Drosophila melanogaster: one gene and its partner. Changing the gene in region 1 together with any one later gene gives a genetic interaction. Each region holds a gene or a part of one and is shown on either strand. Other genes may lie near its edges.

Region 1 (4,495 bases):
TGCAAAAGATTCGCGACGAATTCATCGCCAACGAGGACAGCTTCTAAGACTCTATTTCGAACTATTTATCAAAAGTATACTTAACATTTGCATAGCAAAGCAAGTACGCATTTTTGTTCTTTCTATGTATTTACGCTTACGAAACCGGAATTCACAAATAAAAAACCAAATCCAAACACATTTTAAGGTGTTTCAAATAGAAGAGAAGAGCATGCAATCAAATAAAAGCAATTCGATTCAATATACGATTATTAAGCTTCCCCAACTAAAAATCGTATTTTTCTGATCCACCTTAAGCCGCCTATTTCACTCCAGTTTCTTGACGAATCAGTGGAATTTGTCAGCAATTGAGGACTAGTCATGCCGACACAGAGGTGCGCTGTAGTCCATTCAGGAACGATTTGGAATGATAAGATAAGTCGGCCCACATTTGGCGGAAAACTTTTTGGGAAAGGTGTGCGTGCACCCACAACGTATGAGTCATGTTTTGAATTTATTTTTTTGTATTAATTTATTGCTAGTATCTTGTATACTTTTCATTTTCATAATTTGATTTATTAAAAATTGCATCAATAGTTTATGTTTTTATTCAATTATCAATTTTGTAAGCTTTTGCTTTTCGCGTAAAAAATGCACAAAGTTCTCTCGCTAATCGAAGCAAAAATCGTTAATAATATTGTTAAGTGTTTGCTCTGCTCGTGCTCTGCTTATCTGTTTCAGTTTTAGTCATAAAAATACATATTTTATATTTGTGTATATTTATTCATAAGATGCACGTGGCCAAGTCCTATGCCATCCACAGTTCCAGTTAGCAGTCGCGTTCGCTGTGCTAAAAAAAAAACCGAAATCCTAACCAAAACTGGCGAAACAAAAGCCGCAAACAGAACAGAACGGGGGCTAAAATTGGAAACAAAATGCCTGGCTGGTGGAATCATTGAACACAGACTGGCTGCGTGGTATCTACGACTGCTGGAGATGCCGAGAGCTGGAATGTCGGAGGATCCTGGGACCGCCTGGCCTGACATAAGTACATGGTCTTGGGTTTTTTTTCGTTTAGAGGGTTTAGGGGGTATCGGAAATGCACTACACTATATTCTTGTCTGGTAGCTAACTCGCAAATATTACTCTGATCTTGATCCCTGATCTCGTGTCAATGAGTTAGCATTCGCACTCGCCTGCGCTCGGGATTAGCTCGTCAATTAACAGTAATTAGTTAGCCGATTTCGTTAATTGTTGTTTAGTCTATTTGCCTTTGCTATCATTTGTTACTTTATAAATAAACTTAAACGTAAAGTGTGTATGTGTGTATAGATGTTGAGGAATCCGCCGCAGATCCGGCCAGTACATACACCTGACACCTGTGTACACCAGTGCTGCTGGCCGATCTCCTGCATCTGCATCTGCTCCTGCTGTTGAAAAAGGGGGAGAGGATGGTTGGATCGTCGGCTCAACCGGTTCTAGCAGGCGCAGCCGCCCTCGGGATCCTTTGTCTCGTTGGGTGAGTCCTTTAGCACAACCTCCTGCATGTCCTCGGAGGGCTTGTTCTCCGTGGAATCCATGCCGGGCAGTGCCGCGGCCACCCGTCGGAACAATTGCTTCACATTGTAGCCGGCCTTGGCGCTTGTCTCGATGAACATCACGTTAAGCTCCTTCGCCTTGCGCTCACCCTCCTCGGTGGACACCTGACGCTTGTCGGAGAGATCCGTCTTGTTGCCCACCAGCATGATGATGACGTCGCTACCCCGCTCCGTGCGCACGTCATCGATCCACTTGGAGGTCTGGTGGAACGAGTTGGTGTTGGTGATATCGTAAACGACCACTGCCACCGTGGAGTCGCGTATGTACGAGGGTATCAGCGAGCGGAATCGCTCCTGTCCCGCCGTATCCCACAGCTGCAGGCGCACAGTGCGATCCTCCAGGTACATGGTCTTCGATAGGAAATCAATTCCGATCGTCGCCTGGTACGTGTTGTCGAAGCTGTCGTACATGAAGCGCGTAATCAGCGAGGTCTTGCCCACACTCTGCTCGCCGAGGAAGACGAGCTTGAACTTCCGCAGCGGATTGCCAAAATCTCCGGATGACATCTTCCTCAACGTACGTGTCTACTTTTTCTTAATTACGGGTTTGCTGAACTCTCTTCTCGCTCCGCTCCGCTCTCACCAATCTCCACCCCTCCTCACTGTTTATAATGGGGCTGGGCCAGCGGTTTTCGGGGCCCTTTCGCACTGCGATTTCTCGGGATGCACCGCTTTCAAGTTGCCGCACTCTATTACACACGCTCTAAATGCTTTCCGTCTGGCTAAAGACTCAATTGCGGCTCGAATGGCTTGGTAAATCGCTAGGTTGAGTCGTGGAAAAATTACGGTCTCTGCTTCTTCTTCTTTAACTTCTGAGTCAGTTGCTGTGTGACCAGAGTGGCAATCAAAAGCAATTTCTCTGCCACGCTATCGATAAACGCATATTTGTACTAAATCGATGTTTTATGATTTAAAAAAAAATCGATTGATATTCGTTACCGTTATTAAATAATTTTAACTAAAATTTACCTGCTTAAAATGTTTAAATACTGATGAAGTACAAGGTAATTGCTTAACTTTTTATTTCATATTAAAAAGTGAATACTAAGTGTAAGAAATACTAACAGGTGATAACGCGATTTTCAAATATAAAGCTCTCTAAAGTGATTTGCTTGTTTTTAGATAAACGAGCGTAGGTATTTGCCCATCCTATCGGTGGAACTTGACGTACTTCTGTCAAAGAGTCACTGTTCGGGCGTCGCTTAATCTCAAATTATAATAAGTGGTTATCTGAAGAACACACGGTCCTTAATTGAAAGCCTTATCTGCTGGCGCTGGCAAAATTTTGGAATGGCGAATTAATTTAAACGTGCCGCGATAAAGGTCGATGTAAACAGTTCCGCGAAAACTATGTTAGCGAACGGACAGCAAACAAAGTCGTTGGCCAGTGGGCTTCTTCTCCTACTGGGCATATGCCGAATATCCGGAGTGGCTATCGGCGCACCCGAGGGGCGTGTCGTGGGTGGATCTCCGGCAGCGGTGAATAGTGCTCCCTATGCGGTGTCCATGCAGTACGGTGGCACCCATTACTGTGCCGCCAGCATTCTGAATGCCAACTGGCTAGTCACCGCTGCCCACTGCCTGACCAATAGTAACCAGGTGCTGGGCAGCACCTTGGTGGCCGGAAGCATCGCGGTGGACGGAACTGCAAGCACTACGCAGACGCGGAGCATCACGTACTTCGTGATCAATGACTTGTACACCGGCGGAACTGTGCCCTATGACATCGGAATGATCTACACGCCCACCGCCTTCGTTTGGAGCGCCGCCGTTGCCCCAGTGACGCTACCATCCTCGGGAGTGGTGCCCACTGGCACCGCCAATCTGTACGGATGGGGCAGCACTAGCACCACGAATACCGCCTCCTATCCGTCGACCCTGCAGGTGGCCACCAATGTGCCTATCATTTCGCTGAGCTCCTGCGAAAGCGCCCTGGGCACCAAGGGCAGCGATGTCCACTCGACCAATCTGTGCACTGGTCCTCTAACTGGCGGCGTTAGCATTTGCACCTCGGATTCGGGCGGACCACTGGTCCAGGGCAATGTCCTTATTGGCATCGTGTCCTGGGGCAAGTTACCTTGTGGTCAGGCCAACTCACCGTCGGTTTACGTGCAGGTCTCGTCGTTTATATCGTGGATATCGGCTAACCAGCAGGTGTCCTAAATAGTCGAGTTTTTCCCTATTTTTTCAATAAAAGCAATCAAATGTGTGTCCCTAGTGGCGGTCACTTAAATGTGGGACTTTCCTTCGCATCACAGCTACTATATCAAACAACGAGCTGTTTTTTAAAGTTTATCTTATCTCGTAAAGAGAGAGGAACACGGTGAGCAACCAACGAACAGATTTATATGCTTCACATATTTTCGGGCTGTAAATAACAATTTCTTACATTGCACAATAACAGAATAACGAACCGAATCATTGTGAAATATGTGAGTTAAGTAAATAATGTTGAGACTATGGTTTCAAAATCTAAACATTTCTTACCAGAACTAACCTTTTTAACAATGGTCTTATAGATATTATATTTATAATATTTTCCTTATCAATGGACGGGGATCCCCTCGAAAATACAGAATGACAAACTTGAGATATTGCCCTCAACACCCTTTTGCATCTATTCTCATTGTTGACTGAGTCTATCATAACAAGAGAGAAATATATATATATAAAATCGTATAATCTTAAGTTATAATAGGCTCTTATCTGAAAGACAAGGGCTCTGATTGAAAGTTCTTATCATATTCTCGGTTGGCTCGCATGAAATTTTTTATCACGAATTAATTTAAAAAGCCGTCGATAGTGCCAATGTAAACAGTTCTGTGAAAACCATGATTGCGAATGGACAACAAACCATGTGGCGCCATCGCCACCTGGCCACTATCCTCCTGCTGGCGGTGTGCGTTTCCCAAGGATCT
Region 2 (5,636 bases), 2.1 Mb from region 1:
GCCGCCCCGATTCTGTTTTCACTTGGGTTTCCGCTTTCTTCCGCTCCGATCCGCTCTTCTCCGCCAGAAATTCTCTCACAGCAGATTACAGGACACGGCGGTGGCACCCACGCTGGAGGCGCATTTTCAGAGATCTCCTGCTGGCAGAGCAAGTTCTTCGATCTATTGGTTTCAGTCCTATTGGCAGTAATATCGCGGCTTTCGTGCCCTTCTTTTGTGAGGAATCCAGTTCGTGGGTCGGGTGCCTACGTCTAATTGGTGTGACCAGCCAATGCGAAATCCGAAATGACTAAAATACAGACTTCCTCCCGGTTTTATATTATTTAAAATTTTTACTATTTGTTTTATTTTAAAGTTTAAAAGCTATCAGTAAAAAAATTAACTTAATTAAAAAACAAATGTCGAAGATTATTTAGATTTTGTTTGTCGCAGACGAAAAATATGAAAATTTTCCGATGATTTAAAAAAGGGAAATTTCGAGGGCTGCAGAGTAAAAAAATAAAACATATTTTGAAAATTAAAGAAATATGTCAAATATATAAAGTAGCTAACTCCAAACCGACTACTAATTGTTTCGTAGTTCAGAAATTTTTTTAATACTGAATTAATTGTAAAATATCTAATTTTAGTTAGTTCAATAAAACAATTCACGAAAGTTAGATGCATTTTATTTATTTATAAGATTAAAATATCAATTATGTACAACTAAGTTAAGTATTTAATTAGTTCTCTTGAAATGGATATAAGGGGATTTACAAGTGAGCTTGATAAGCGTGATATTTTTTCGTTATGGATTTATTAAACAAATATTCTTAGATTATCTGTTTGATTTGAATATATGATGTCAAAATGTTCCCTTAACATTTATACGTCGATAACTTAAGATGTTCCGTGTACGTCCCAAGGCTGTCTTTTGGTTAAAAGTACTGCGGAATCGCTATTACTATTTGCCTCGCCCCTGGTAGTCATTTTCATATACACAAGATCGGATTACGTTAAAAGTAATTAAAAAGTATTTGCATTATAAGAAACAGTAGTCGCCAGTGCAGACTAATTGTTGTGATGATGAAGAAAGAGGATGGCGTCGATGTGACTACCGGTGAGCATGAATCGCTTGTTGAAGTCGTATATTTGGTCTCTCAGCGCCTTCTTGAAGCTGAGCGTCACCACGCCGGGCACACTATGGTACAGGCTGGCCAAATCGCGGAGCGTTCCATAAATGTGTCCCATCTTGAGCCACCACTCGATGGGCGACTCATCCAGCTGAACGACCACCTCGTTGCGATATCGCTTAAGATCGGACTCCACGCTGCTGTCCGCATCTCGCTTCGGAGGATTTGGTATCTCGTTACTGTCAAACAGCAGTTTCAGACCTACGGGCATTTTCGTTTAGTCCATGGTTTATGATAATCGATTTAGTTCGATGCACTTACCCAACTTCTTTGGTGCACTGCCGTCCACTACTCTTGGTTCTGACTTAATGGCCACCACGCTGGAGGTAGCTGCCACTTCGTTGGATTCCCCTTCGCCCACTCCACCAAAGTTAATGTTATACTTATGGGTCAGCATACGAACGGTTCGCTCTAGGTTGTCAATGGTGGTCAGGCGGTGGAAGCGTGGGTCCAACAATGCAGCAGCGGTCAGATTGTCATTGGATATAACGTGCGCCTGGAGGACACTGGAAATGGTCCGCTTCAAATTCATCATTAGGGGATCGTCCTGCTCGGCGATGCCCAACTTCTTGATAAGAATCTTTGAAGTGATTGGCGAAAGCATGCTACACAAGGGAATGTCTTCGCCACGCAGCGTGTCCAAAGCAATCTAAAAGATTTCACACAATAAGAAAACTGCTTAAACGTCTCATTTAGCTTGATGGCTTACCACCAGAGCACTCAGGGCCTCCGTCACCGTCTTGGCTGATATAACCAGGTGATCCATGTCCTCGGACCAAGATATGGACTCGGCAAAGAACTTCAATGTTTCGTACAGTGTCCAGGGGAAGTGCTCGTTGTACGTGGGCATGGGCACCTCGGACACCTTGGAGGCAATCTCCGTTGAATGACGCTGCATTAGGTCCTTCACCTGCTCCAATAAAGTGGCCACCTCTTCGATCTCAAACACACGACGCAAACATTTGTCAATTACCGAAACGTAGCACAGCGAAATGGGTATATCTGCAATAAAAGATTCATATTCATTAGGAAGTCCAATATTTGATATATATTCTATATAAGGTAAATAATTCTGACTTGCTAATGCACTCACTTTTCTCTCGCAGATAGGTGTGCAAAAGGTCCTCTTCCTCGTCGTAGTTTATGATGGCCAGTGTGCAATTGGCCAAATAGAAGTCGGTCAGCAGATCGTCAAAGACGATGTAGTCGTTGTACTCCACGGTGGCATACAGCATACCGCGAACTGAGTGCGTCTCCTCGTCCAGAAAGTGATGGAAGATGCTAAGGAAGCGCCGCTGTTCAACATTCACCCACATCTCAAAGGCGAGAGAGAAGGGCTTCTCGGAGGTGAAATCGCGCGTGATTTCGCCAATCTCCAGAAACTTGGAGGCGTGCATCTCATTGATCAAAGAGTCGATCTTGTGTGGCTCGGGCATGGCTGCCGAATTGCCTAGGACTTGACGCAGGAATTCACCAAAACCGGCATCGTACAGAGAATCCACATTGCGCAAATCCTTAATCACAATGTCCGTAAGGGCTTCGGCCAGATTGGCGATGTTCGCCACGGCGGCATAGCCGCCTTCCTCGTGCTTGATGACACGCCCGTGCATCAGGGCACTCGATGGAGTGGCCACTTTGCGTTTGCGTCCGTACTTTGGTTCCATAACTAGGCGCTCCTCCTCCTCTACCAGATTTTCGGCCTCGTCGTAGGTGAAGGGCACCATGGTCTCGTACAGCATGGTTTGCGAGGAGGCGTCCTCCTCCGCCTGCATGGCCGCAGTTGCCACGGCTGCTTCGTCCAGTTCATCATCGGAAGCGTTATCGTGGTTCCGGTTATTAATGAACTCCAGTTTGACCCGCCGCGAGGAAACATTCCGCTTGGACAGCGGTGGATGGGATACATTACGCGGCGTCTTGCGCGGCGGCACATGGATGTCGTGCTCCTGGCACAGCTCCTTGAACAGATCCTTGTGTCGGTGCTGGAGATGCGCACGCAAATTGGTGGTGTTGCCATGGTTGGTCAGCACCTTGTGACACTTAATGCAGACCACATTCTGTTTGGTAATCACCTCATTATTGTCGTTCGAGGGGAATCCAAAGTAGCGCCAGTATACGCTTTTCATCTTGGGCGAGTACAGTTTGGAAAAATTTAGCTGCGACACATCCTCGTACTTGAGTTCGCCAATGGCCACGGGCGACGCTGGTACCCCTTCGCTCATCTTGTCTTCTGTGGGGGATTGGGATCTTCTTGTTTGTTTTGAATTAGATTCGACAACGATTGCTGTGCCCAATGCGTGTATTAGCGCGCAATTTCTCGATTATAGATAGACGGTTCAATAGTCAATAGTTTTTTATCTGTATCAGAAGTACAGTTCAGAGTTGCCACGCGACACGCCGTCAATCGATAAGGCAATAAAACGTTGCTAAATGCTTCAAATGCACTCTCATTTATTTGAGATTATTTTTACAGACTGCTCAAATATGAGAGTCACCGCTTTTTAATTTCAATACGTCTGACTGTCGTAAAAAATGCGATTTGTTGAGTATTCTCGCTAACACTGATTGCATCACCAATCGATAGCTGGGGAAATTTCTCGCTCGGCCGGGGGAATTTCTCTAGGGAAATTTTCGCTTGGCCTACGACGTGAAGTTGGTTGCGATTTCCTTTTTAATTCGTTGTTGGGAAGAAAAGGTGTGTAAATTTCGTGAGCGTCACGAAATTCAATGAAAATAAAAGATAAACGAAATGCAAATCGAGCCATCGAGTGTGCCAAGTGTGGAGGACACAAGTGGGCATCATTGACACCCGTAGGCATGAAGAAGTGCTCGGAATTACGGCTTAAACAAATCGAAATTCGCCAGCCACGTGGGCCTGCAGCTTGGTTATCCCATATATACGAGTTTACAAAGAGACATTGATGTTATTATTGTGTTTTTGCCCTCGTTGCAGCCAATCTAAACCGCCAAGATGGGTAAGGGTAACAATATGATTCCGAATCAGCACTACCACAAGTGGTGGCAGCGGCATGTGAAGACCTGGTTCAACCAGCCGGCCCGCAAGGTCCGCAGGCATGCGAACCGCGTCAAGAAGGCTAAGGCCGTCTTCCCCCGCCCAGCCAGCGGTGCCCTGCGCCCTGTGGTTCGCTGCCCCACCATCCGCTACCACACCAAGCTGCGTGCCGGCCGTGGTTTCACCCTGGAGGAGCTGAAGGTAAGTGAAGCCGAAAACATTATCGGAATCCATTGGCCACTAACAAAATCTCTGTTTACAGGGTGCCGGCATTGGCGCCAACTTCGCCAAGACCATCGGCATTGCCGTCGACAGGAGGCGCAAGAACAAATCCCTGGAGTCCCGCCAGCGTAACATCCAGCGCCTCAAGGAGTACCGCAGCAAGTTGATCCTGTTCCCCATCAACGAGAAGAAGATCCGCGCCGGCGAGTCCTCTCTGGAGGAGTGCAAGCTGGCTACCCAGCTTAAGGGACCCGTCCTGCCCATCAAAAATGAGCAGCCCGCCGTGGTCGAGTTCCGTGAGGTGACCAAGGATGAGAAGAAGTTCAAGGCCTTCGCCACGCTGCGCAAGGTAAGTTTTTTGGTTTCGTGATCCGCCGGTAGCTCGTTATACTTATTCGCCGCCAAACTATATTTGCAGGCTCGCACTGATGCCCGTTTGGTCGGAATCCGCGCCAAGCGCGCCAAGGAGGCCGCTGAGAGCGAGGACGCCGCCAAGGGAGACCCCAAGAAGGCCAAGAAGTAAACCACATCTTAACCTGATCGTTCTGTCTACAACATCAACCAGAATAAAATCTTAGTTTTTCTTAAACGTGAATATTTGTGCACATTGTTGTTATTGTCGCGTCTGGCGTAAGACTTATCGATAACCCGTGTTGCTATCGATAAGTAGCTTTGGCGCGTTGAATTCAAACTGGCGCGTTTGTTTTTAGCTGCTGCATCCAAAAAAAGAAACGTATGTTGCTTGCCATTACTTTTTTATTTTTTCTTATTTTTACCAGCTTCTTAATTTATTTGGGTTAAATTATTAAAAAGTTAAATCTGTGGTGCCATATAGAAGATTTTCTTAGGATACGCATCTTGAGCAAACGAAAAGGTTGCAGAAGCTACGTTTCTTATTTTTTTAAATATCTTTTGTTGAAATGTTAATTACAATATATTGAATTTTTCATTAGAATGGTGTAGGGTAAAGATTAAACTAAACAACTGTATTTTATCTCTGCAGTAATATATTTGCAATACCTTTTAAGGTATTTATGCCTATGTACATATGTATGTACATATGCGCGTTTCACTATATCTGAAAATATTGAGTTTAAAATTGATAAGCTGAGTGAGTGAAGGGCTTCACTATCGCGTTTCATCTTTTTTTTTACTCGTTTTCAGTTAAGCTTGTTTACTGAAATACAATTTTTGTTTTGATTTCCGTAGCACAAATTCAGAAACTAACCACA

What was found.
Region 2: of Rab6 (region 1) and Dref, changing one suppresses a phenotype caused by changing the other (phenotypic suppression), as found in Drosophila melanogaster (one study listed by BioGRID).

Annotation. Positions count from the first base shown.
Region 1 is NT_033779.5:12,106,716-12,111,210, forward strand, and holds Rab6 (Rab6), read right to left. Parts: upstream 2,402-4,495; 5' UTR 2,085-2,401; coding exon 1,458-2,084; 3' UTR 506-1,457; downstream 1-505. Other genes in the region: ThrRS (Threonyl-tRNA synthetase), read left to right, coding at 1-47; Phae1 (phaedra 1), read left to right, coding at 2,928-3,740; Phae2 (phaedra 2), read left to right, coding at 4,433-4,495. UniProt on the Drosophila melanogaster protein: Protein transport. Regulator of membrane traffic from the Golgi apparatus towards the endoplasmic reticulum (ER). Mediates membrane trafficking during egg chamber growth and organization, possibly upstream of exocyst component Sec5.
Region 2 is NT_033779.5:9,963,495-9,969,130, forward strand, and holds Dref (DNA replication-related element factor), read right to left. Parts: upstream 3,736-5,636; 5' UTR 3,392-3,735; coding exon 2,266-3,391; intron 2,175-2,265; coding exon 1,882-2,174; intron 1,822-1,881; coding exon 1,434-1,821; intron 1,374-1,433; coding exon 1,051-1,373; 3' UTR 653-1,050; downstream 1-652. Other genes in the region: RpL13 (ribosomal protein L13), read left to right, coding at 4,141-4,383, 4,445-4,753, 4,823-4,927.